Arabidopsis thaliana: one gene and its partner. The protein of the gene in region 1 interacts with the protein of each later gene in a biochemical or structural test. Each region holds a gene or a part of one and is shown in the gene's direction. Other genes may lie near its edges.

Region 1 (4,288 bases):
AGCTAATCGCAATGTTTAACCAAACAATAGCAGATGCATCATATTATGACAAGATAAAGCTTTTTTGAACAGAGGAGCAAAGGATACTGCCTTGGTATTTAGATCGCGGGTAGTAAATATCCTCGCATTTTGGGCAGTATATCTTCACAGTGCTCGACCTCGGGATATCAGATTGGCCAACCGGAAGACAAGACTGTCCGCAACAGAAAACTCTGGGGCATCTCCCGAAATCATAATTCTTATACTTCTCCATCTACAAAAGAGAAAGATATCATTCAAAAGATCAATCAGAAACAAAGATGTAGAAGAAGTATCTTGCTTACCATAGCAGCCATTCCTTTAGTAGTGAGAATATAACGAACATGAATAAGACCATATAACATCTCAGCAGCTGATTCCACCATCTCATGCTGTTCTTCAGTAAACATATCACCTAATCCAATAAACATTCCTCCAAATTATACAACAATTCTCAGACAAAGTAAAGCCTAAATTCATCAAATGGACCCTTCACTTACCATTTGATGATTCAACATCTAAAATGAGATCAAGTGCATAATCATAGTAAGGAACTTGACCACTCAAACCACAGAGATTGAAATCATCTTGTATATAATCTTCATCTACTTCACAGAAAAACTCATTCCCTCTCAAATTACAAAACCATGAGATCCAAGAGGTATCATCACCTTCTGAACCACTCACATCTGATCCTTCACTATCCGTGTCAGATTCAACTGCATCCACAAAGAATCAAAATTTATTAATACCCAAATCAGAAAGTACTAAAACCACATGAAATTGAAATTGAGTGAGATATAAGCAATTAACCATCGGGGGAACGAGAATGAAGCTGAGATTTAGCAGTTGAAGTAGAAGGGACAGAATCTTTGTCCTTAGAAGTGAAAACCCTAGATGTAGAAGGTGAAGATTTCTTAAGATGTTTGTCTAAAGCATCATTGATTCGTTTCCGATCAATAGCTCCACCAAGGATCTCCGATCTCGATGATCCACCACCACCCATTATTCCTCCTCCACTCCGATCCTTGTACATAACTCGATTCGATTCCCTCAATGAAAAAAAACAAAATTTTTCAGCTTTAGATTCTCAAAGTCTTCGACTTTCTTATCATCAGAGGAAGAAGAGGGGCGGATAAATCTAGGGTTTGTTTTTTCTTCGATAGTTTGATCACAGAGTAGAAGAAAGAGAGAAGAAGAGATAAAGAGTGCTCTGCTTTTCCCTGTGGTTTTTTCTCATTCTCTACTGTTTTGTTTTCTTCTCTTTGTTTTTTTTTTTTTTTTTAATCATTGTTTAATTTTTTAAAATTCTAGTATTTAGAAATGGGCTTTTCGGATGGGCCTTATGACACTGACAGTTGTAATACAAAGATTCACGTAGAAGGAAACATTTTTTTGTACTTAAACTATGATTCCAAATTATATCTTAGGAAGAAAGAAATCATAAAATTCATTTTTTTTTGTATCAACACGGTAGTAATAATGGACTTGCCTTTCCATCTTTGTTAATGATGATGTGTTTGGTGGTCGATCCATTGTCCAAACTTAAATCGAAAAAAAAAACAAATGATCTAGAGATAATTAAAATTACACATCTTGTAAAATTAGTCATGTAAATGTAACTGAATTTACAAAATTTGATTTGATATAACCACCACTTATTTTCATTTTGCTGAAACATTTGGACCTTTGCATTTGCATTGATTGGTGAAAAAAACAAAGCACTATAATTTGTACAACTTTCATTTCTACCAATTATAATTTTTTTTATCAAAAGCGTTACTAAAAGATTTTTCTCTCAGCTTTTTTATACATTTTTTTTAATATAACTGTTTTTTAGTAATTTTATACTATTTCAAAAAAAGTTAACAGATAAAAGTTATGTACAGCTATGTGTTACCAATTAGAGTTTTTTTGGAAAGAAGTAAAATATGGCAAAATCTATCTAAATTCAAAAAATAGGAAAGAAATCAAACCCACCGAATAAAAAATTATTTTTAAGGCGTTTTGGCTCTCTGACAGCTCAAATTAAAGTTGACTCCTTTTTTACCACTCAAGTCTCATTCTCATTCTTCACTTGAACCAGAATAAAACCACAGAAAGAGAGAGAACAGGGTAAGTAAAATCAGAGAATTTTCTCAATCAATGTCAGCTTCAATGGCTGCAACATCAACATCATCAGCAACAGCTACAACGTTTATAAAGTGTGTCACTGTTGGCGATGGAGCTGTGGGCAAAACTTGTCTTCTTATTTCCTACACCAGCAACACGTTCCCCACTGTATATAAATCCATCTCTCCCTCTCTCTCTTTTGGATTGCTTTTCTTGATAGCTTTTGGTGACTGTTGAGATCTTGTTATTACAGGATTATGTTCCAACAGTGTTCGACAATTTCAATGCTAATGTTTTAGTCGATGGTAAAACTGTCAATCTGGGTCTCTGGGATACTGCTGGTAAATGCTTTTACCTAATGTCAAAGTTGTTCTTGTCTTTAGCTTTATATCTACAACAATATGTCAAGGTCTAATCTTTTGGTCCTTTTAAAAGAAGTCAGTTGAAAAATTTGAATCTTTGATGCAACATTGTTTTGGTTCTTGAATTCACTATCAGATTTTGCTCATGTTTCTTCAAAACTTAAATGAGACCAATTATGATTCTTGTGTTATATATCTTTTGGGTGATTCACATTATATTACAGGTCAAGAAGACTACAATAGGGTTAGACCATTGAGTTACAGAGGAGCAGATGTTTTCATTCTTGCCTTCTCACTTATTAGCAGGCCTAGCTTTGAGAACATTGCTAAAAAGGTTGAGACTTGAGATTATCTTTCCTTTTACTTTTAATTTCACTGTAATTTAACTTTACAACACTGATCTCATGTGCATATGGATCGGTTTTCTTTCGCAGTGGGTACCCGAGCTGAGACATTATGCCCCGACTGTGCCTATTGTTCTTGTGGGAACCAAATCAGGTTGAAGATAATGAACCACTCTGTTATGTCTTGAATGTTAGGAATCTAACATCAATGTGTAAGTGATGTTATGTAGTATATAAGATGAATTTCTTGATATTGCAGATCTAAGAGACAACATGCAGTTCCCAAAGAATTATCCAGGTGCTTGCACAATCTTCCCAGAACAGGTATGTTTTTTTAAAGATTCTTCTTCAATGTATATGATCAAGAACCATGTTAAGAATCAAACTCTTTTATAACTCAAAGATTGCTTCTTTTATAGGGTCAAGAACTAAGAAAGGAAATAGGAGCATTAGCATACATAGAGTGCAGCTCAAAAGCACAAATGGTAAAGTAACCATTAATGCTTGAGTTACATTTTACAATTAGACCAAATATTTTGGACCTCAATCTGATAAAGAAAGACTTATGATGATGCTAAATTTGCAGAACGTAAAAGCCGTGTTTGATGAAGCGATCAAAGTAGTTTTACATCCTCCTTCAAAGACTAAGAAGCGAAAGAGAAAGATCGGTTTATGCCATGTTCTTTGACTAGTGTACTCAAGTCTCTGGCTTTGGTTTGTTTTACATCTTTTTTAGTGTGTTTCTTCTATGAAGGACTCTTGCAGATTTTAGTATGATTAGCTATCTTCGTTATAAAAGTTTGATCTTGTAGTAGAGATTCTTGTAACAGAATTATAAGCGAATTCTCGTCTATCAGTCTATGTAAAAGAACAATGTTTGTCTTCTTTGAGTTCAAGAGACAACAACAAAGAACCGTTTTAGCGCAAAAAGAAACAAAATAAACCGATTGAAACAGAATCGAAGAATAAATAAACCGGGTTTTGTTTTTTGGCTAATAACCGAAACCGAAATAGAATAAATCAATAAAATCTCAATTCTCTAGTCTTCTCCTTTAAACTAGAGTCGATGTCTAGCTCCAACGAACCACCGCGAAAAACCGACCAACCATCGTCGTCATCGGCATCGGCATCGGCATCGCCGTCATTGTTTTTGTCACTGCCACTGGAAATCATTTCGATGATCTTAGCCCGCGTCCCAAAACGATATTACCCAATCCTCTGCTCCGTCTCCAAGAACATGCGGAGTCTTGTTCGCTCGCCTGAAATTCACAAGGCTCGATCTTTACTCGGAAAAGATTATCTCTATATCGGCTTCATCGACGAAAATTATCGCCCCGTATACGACTACTGGTACACTCTCCGGAGAATCGAGAACAGTACGACCGAGAATCTCTTCGAATCCATTGAGTTCCCTTATCCTTCCGAGCCTAATCGATTTTCCATGAACGCCGT
Region 2 (5,006 bases), on another chromosome or scaffold:
TAAAAAGATTAAACACACCATTTGCATTAAAAAGTTGAGAATTCTTCAAGAACTAGCATAGGTTGCTAGCTAGATCAATGGGTCCTAAACCTTCTTAATGGGCTTATAAATCCCAACTGTTACACCGACATATTTACGAGTTTTGTGGAAGGCTTAGCTAATTACATTTTTTTTCTTTCACATGTTAGCTATTTAACTAATTAATTATGCACCTCTCCATCGTTATCCATTAAACGTCAAAGACAAAAAATACTTGGACACACGTAAGAGAGAGACACATATATCTGCTCAAATGAGTCATTACACCTTATTTTATTATACTTTTTCTTAACTGTCTTGTTCCTTTTTTTAGTCTTCAAATTATCAACTTTGTTTCTTTGATCAGCTTTGTCATCTTGAAATTATCAACGTTTTGACTAAATTTAAAGAACAGTTGTGTTCGTTCGTGCCATTCTTTTGAATGCTTATACGTACATTTCTTCTTGAAAAGACTTTGAATCCAAGAACCCGTGAGGAAGTAATCCCAGTGAAGAGAAGACGACAAAGAAAAAGGTTAGGCACATTTTCCCATATTTTTCCTCAAAGAGGAGACATTATTTATCTTTGTATGGGTTTTCTTGATAAAGATTAGATATTGAAGGAATCTTTTTTTCATTTTGTGTCTTTTAGGAGCCTATAAAGATCCAAAGCTTCCCTTGTCTTTAGTTCTCATCAAAAAAATTGAAAAACGTTTGGAGTTATTGAGAGAGAGAGAGATAGAGAAAGATGTTGGAAGGCAAAGCAATGGTGGAAGATTCAGACATGCCAGTGAAGATGCAGATGCAAGCTATGGCATTTGCTTCTCAAGCTCTTGACCTTTTTGATGTCTTTGACTGTAAATCCATTGCTGGTCACATCAAGAAGGTATTAGTAATGATTTTCTTCAATTCTATTTATAAGTCATAAATACATCATTATCATCTATATATAACTACTTGGTTAATTTTGTTTGTTCTATAATGAATTTTCAGGAGTTTGATGAGAGATATGGGAGTGGATGGCAATGTGTGGTGGGATCAAATTTTGGGTGTTTCTTCACACATTCTAAAGGGACTTTTATCTATTTTCAATTGGAGACACTTAAGTTCCTCATCTTTAAAGGCGCTTCTACTCCTTAATTACACTACCCTAATCATGGGGATGTTTTTTTTTCCTTTTTCTTTTGCTTCTATGAAAATCTGAGAAAAAAAAATCTTGCTAAGACTATCAAGATCTTTAGCTTTGTTTGAATTCTAAGTTTGTAAATAGGCCCAAGCTAAGAGAGGAAGTTGATTTCAATGATGTAAGATTTTTCATTTTTACAAGTGTTTGCTTTTGTGATCAATAAAAGTGAAATGCAGAAGATTTTTTATATTTATATTCTTTTAGTTGAGATGCAAACAATTATAATTGCCCAGCCACAAATAGAGAATTTCTTAGACTGACTTAGACTAATCTATCATTAGCATAATATAAATTTATTTTAAACTTTTACTTTGATAGAAATTCAGAGAGAGGTCAAAATTGAGGAAAACATTATCATCCATAATCCTTAATTTAGTTGAGAAACTGAGATTTTTTTAATACAACAAGACATAAACAAAAATGATATTACAGATAATGTCAGTAACATGTCCTCCCTACATCTCAATGTTTGATTTAAAGAAAAAGATTGAGATTTTTTTTATGTGTGTGGAGAAATTCAACTTTCAAATAACGTGCAGCCCACATTCCACCAAGTATCAATTTATAAATAGTAAAACATTTCAAGAAAATTAAAAATATCCTCTTATTTTTTTCCCCTGAAGAATCTGACCAAATTCACTACTTGTTTATGGTTATGGACAACGAATCATAATAGTTACTAAAATAATCAGGTTAAAACTAAAACCATTAACAGAAGTCAAATGATGGTGTTCTGTATTTGCTAAGTCTGAAATTAAAATCAAACACCGTTTTTTGGTTAATTAAGTTTGTTTTTTCTTCATGATCTCCTAAAACTCCTCTTTATTACACGAAGAGGAGAACAAATGGAGATTAAAAAGAATTTTCAAATCATAGAAATCTTTTCATTTTTTTTATTGTTTTGATTAACTAGTAATTAATGGTAAAAGCAATGGAGCAAGAACAAGAGACTTACAAATCAAGATTGTTTCATTTCAAGAACATGAACGAAAACTCAGCTTCAAGACATGTTAAAAGCTGGAGCTCAGATTGTGCAATGAGAATGGATGGTTCTGACAATTTGGATGATGATGATAATGACATGATGATGTTTAGGAGTCAACCCGGAAAATGTGGCAGCGTTGACCGACCTTCTTTGCCTATAGGCGGAGTAACGCCTAATCGCAATGACAAGCTTCCGAGAGTCTCTTCATCGGATTCCATGGAGGCACTAATAATATTGCAAGCAGGTAAAATCTAATGAACTGGCTCATATCTTCTAGGTTTCTTGGATTGCAAGTTAGGGGCAAAGTACTAATCTTGGATTATAAGTTAGGGCAAAAACTAAAGTATATGTTGTTGTTATTACAGCAATGGAGCAAATGAAAGAGAAATTTTCGAAATTGCTTCTTGGAGAAGATATGTCAGGAGGAGGAAAAGGTGTTTCATCGGCTTTGGCTTTATCTAACGCCATTACCAATCTCGCAGGTAAGATCTTTTCCCAAATCTTTCAGTTCCATGGAAATTTTCAATTTTATCACCAATTTGATGTTAAGTTCTGTAATTTTTTTGTTGTTGCAGCGTCTGCGTTTGGAGAACAACGGCGTTTAGAGCCAATGGCGGTGGATAGAAAAACGCGTTGGAGGAGAGAAATTGGATGGCTTATCTCTGTGGCTGATTATATAGTTGAATTCGCTCCAACACAACAAACAAACAAAGATGGTACTTCAATGGAAGTCATGTCAACAAGACAAAGAACAGATCTTCTCTGTAACATCCCTGCACTTAAGAAACTCGATGCTATGCTTCTCGTAAGAAGAACAAACAACAACAGCACAAAATATACTAATCAAAGGCTGTTAAATAATTAATCTCACATTTATAATCATTCTCTTGCAGGATTGTCTTGATAAATTCAAGGATCAGGATGAGTTTTATTATGTTAAAAAAGATTCTCCTGATTCTTGCGAGACAAGGAACGATGAGAAATGGTGGTTACCGGCAGTAAAAGTCCCACCTAACGGCCTCTCAGAGATATCAAGAAGGTTTCTACAGAGCCAGAAGGAATGTGTGAATCAAGTCCTTAAAGCTGCAATGGCGATAAACGCTCAAGTTCTGTCTGAAATGGAGATTCCTGAAAGCTACCTTGAGTCACTTCCTAAGGTTATTTAATAAACACATAAAAACATTCATCAAGAATCTGTTATTGATCTAGTCCTTATCGATGTTTTCGTGTGTTGTTGAGAACAGAATGGGAGAGCTAGCTTGGGAGATGTGATATACAGAATGATAACAGTAGAGATGTTTGATGCAGATCAATTCCTAATTGAAATGGATTTATCATCTGAGCACAAGATTCTTGATCTAAAGAACAGAATCGAAGCATCGATTGTGATATGGAAGAGGAAAATGGTGCAGAAGGACACAAAGTCTCCTTGGGGATCAACAGTGAGTATTGAGAAAAGAGAACAGTTTGAAGAAAGAGCTGAAACCATCTTGCTACTATTAAAACAAGGGTTTCCCGGAATCTCACAGTCCTCGCTCGATATCAGCAAGATTCAATTCAACAGAGTAATTTAAAACTCTTAACTTCCAAATACATTTTGATTGTGTTTTCTCTATGGTCATGAGAAAATCTCATTATTGGATAATTGTTGTTGCAGGATGTAGGACTTGCGATATTGGAGAGTTATTCAAGAGTGCTTGAGAGTTTAGCTCACACCGTGATGTCGAGAATAGAAGACGTGCTTTACGCTGATCAGCTTACTCAAGAACCTACAAATAATGCACCTTCTAAGAACAGATATAGCTTGAAGGAGAATGAGAAACTAAGAGAGGAAAGACTAAGTTTCACAGAGGATATGGCTTCAGGAACACTTTCTGATGTTATGCAATGGGGTAACAAAAACAATGAAATGAAGAAAGAAAGCTTTTTCGGAGATAGAGAGAAACCGTTGTTGTCGAAAGTCACAGGTATAATGACTAACAACAAGAAGAGTTCTTATCTTGATAATCTTGGAGCTATGAGGAGTCCAACCGCAAGATACTCCTGAGAGAAACCGGTTTCTTTTTTCCGTTCTTGTTAAATTAGGGCTTCTTACTGCATTTTCAATCTGCTTAAAGATTCCACAAAATGCACCATTGTGTGTTGTAGCAGACTTGAAATGCAATTTCATTGATTCATCATAACTGATTTTCAGAATCACTAGCTTACAAAGCAATTAACACAACACAGTACAATATACATAAATAGGGTTCATAGAATTGGGGAGAAAGTTTCTGACTTTTTGAAAGATTTTAGAAAGCTAATTTAAAGCTTGCCGCGAGGACCGAGCTTAGGTGGCTCTTGAGGACCTCTCTTAATCGGAAGAACATCGCCGGTAGAGTTCGCACTAACATATGTAAGCAAAGAGCCTCCTCCAAGAATCAAAAATTTGAGAAGCAAACCTCTCTTTGTGAAAGGAGCAGCAAATGTCTCAAAGAACTTGCTCTGCAAGCAACATAATCACAAAGTCTTAGAATTTGAAGAAGCATATAGATCTAAAGATTTAAGAGTGTACAAAAACCTGAAGTGGGTTATAAGGAGAAGGAGCATCAGATCCATACACATCCCATTGTCCTGTTGTGTTACCCAAATCTTCTAAATCAAAGTATACACTTTTGTCTCCATACTTAGCCACCACAGCACCAGCTCTACACAAACAATCAAAAGTAACATCCTTTCTTTAATACCAATCCTCATCAATGTCAATCCAAGATTCCAAATTTCAAAGCTTTAAACTTTACCTGGTGGATTTGGTTTTGAAGCTTTGGCGAGAAGGTTT

The links. The genes of interacting proteins can lie anywhere in the genome.
Region 2: the proteins of ARAC9 (region 1) and ROPGEF11 form a complex in vitro, tested with the Arabidopsis thaliana proteins (one study listed by BioGRID).

The regions. Positions count from the first base shown.
Region 1 is NC_003071.7:18,427,113-18,431,400, forward strand, and holds ARAC9 (RAC-like 9), read left to right. Parts: upstream 1-2,008; 5' UTR 2,009-2,163; coding exon 2,164-2,298; intron 2,299-2,383; coding exon 2,384-2,471; intron 2,472-2,716; coding exon 2,717-2,826; intron 2,827-2,926; coding exon 2,927-2,990; intron 2,991-3,095; coding exon 3,096-3,160; intron 3,161-3,255; coding exon 3,256-3,321; intron 3,322-3,422; coding exon 3,423-3,524; 3' UTR 3,525-3,770; downstream 3,771-4,288. Other genes in the region: CKB4 (casein kinase II beta subunit 4), read right to left, coding at 88-253, 324-433, 519-737, 832-1,054; AT2G44700 (Galactose oxidase/kelch repeat superfamily protein), read left to right, coding at 3,903-4,288. UniProt on the Arabidopsis thaliana protein: Inactive GDP-bound Rho GTPases reside in the cytosol, are found in a complex with Rho GDP-dissociation inhibitors (Rho GDIs), and are released from the GDI protein in order to translocate to membranes upon activation.
Region 2 is NC_003070.9:19,454,995-19,460,000, reverse strand, and holds ROPGEF11 (rop guanine nucleotide exchange factor-like protein), read left to right. Parts: upstream 1-1,931; 5' UTR 1,932-2,122; coding exon 2,123-2,432; intron 2,433-2,553; coding exon 2,554-2,670; intron 2,671-2,763; coding exon 2,764-2,993; intron 2,994-3,081; coding exon 3,082-3,345; intron 3,346-3,432; coding exon 3,433-3,753; intron 3,754-3,845; coding exon 3,846-4,235; 3' UTR 4,236-4,492; downstream 4,493-5,006. Other genes in the region: AT1G52245 (dynein light chain LC6, flagellar outer arm-like protein), read left to right, coding at 766-903, 1,011-1,157; PSAH2 (photosystem I subunit H2), read right to left, coding at 4,493-4,672, 4,749-4,875, 4,969-5,006. UniProt on the Arabidopsis thaliana protein: Guanine-nucleotide exchange factor (GEF) that acts as an activator of Rop (Rho of plants) GTPases by promoting the exchange of GDP for GTP.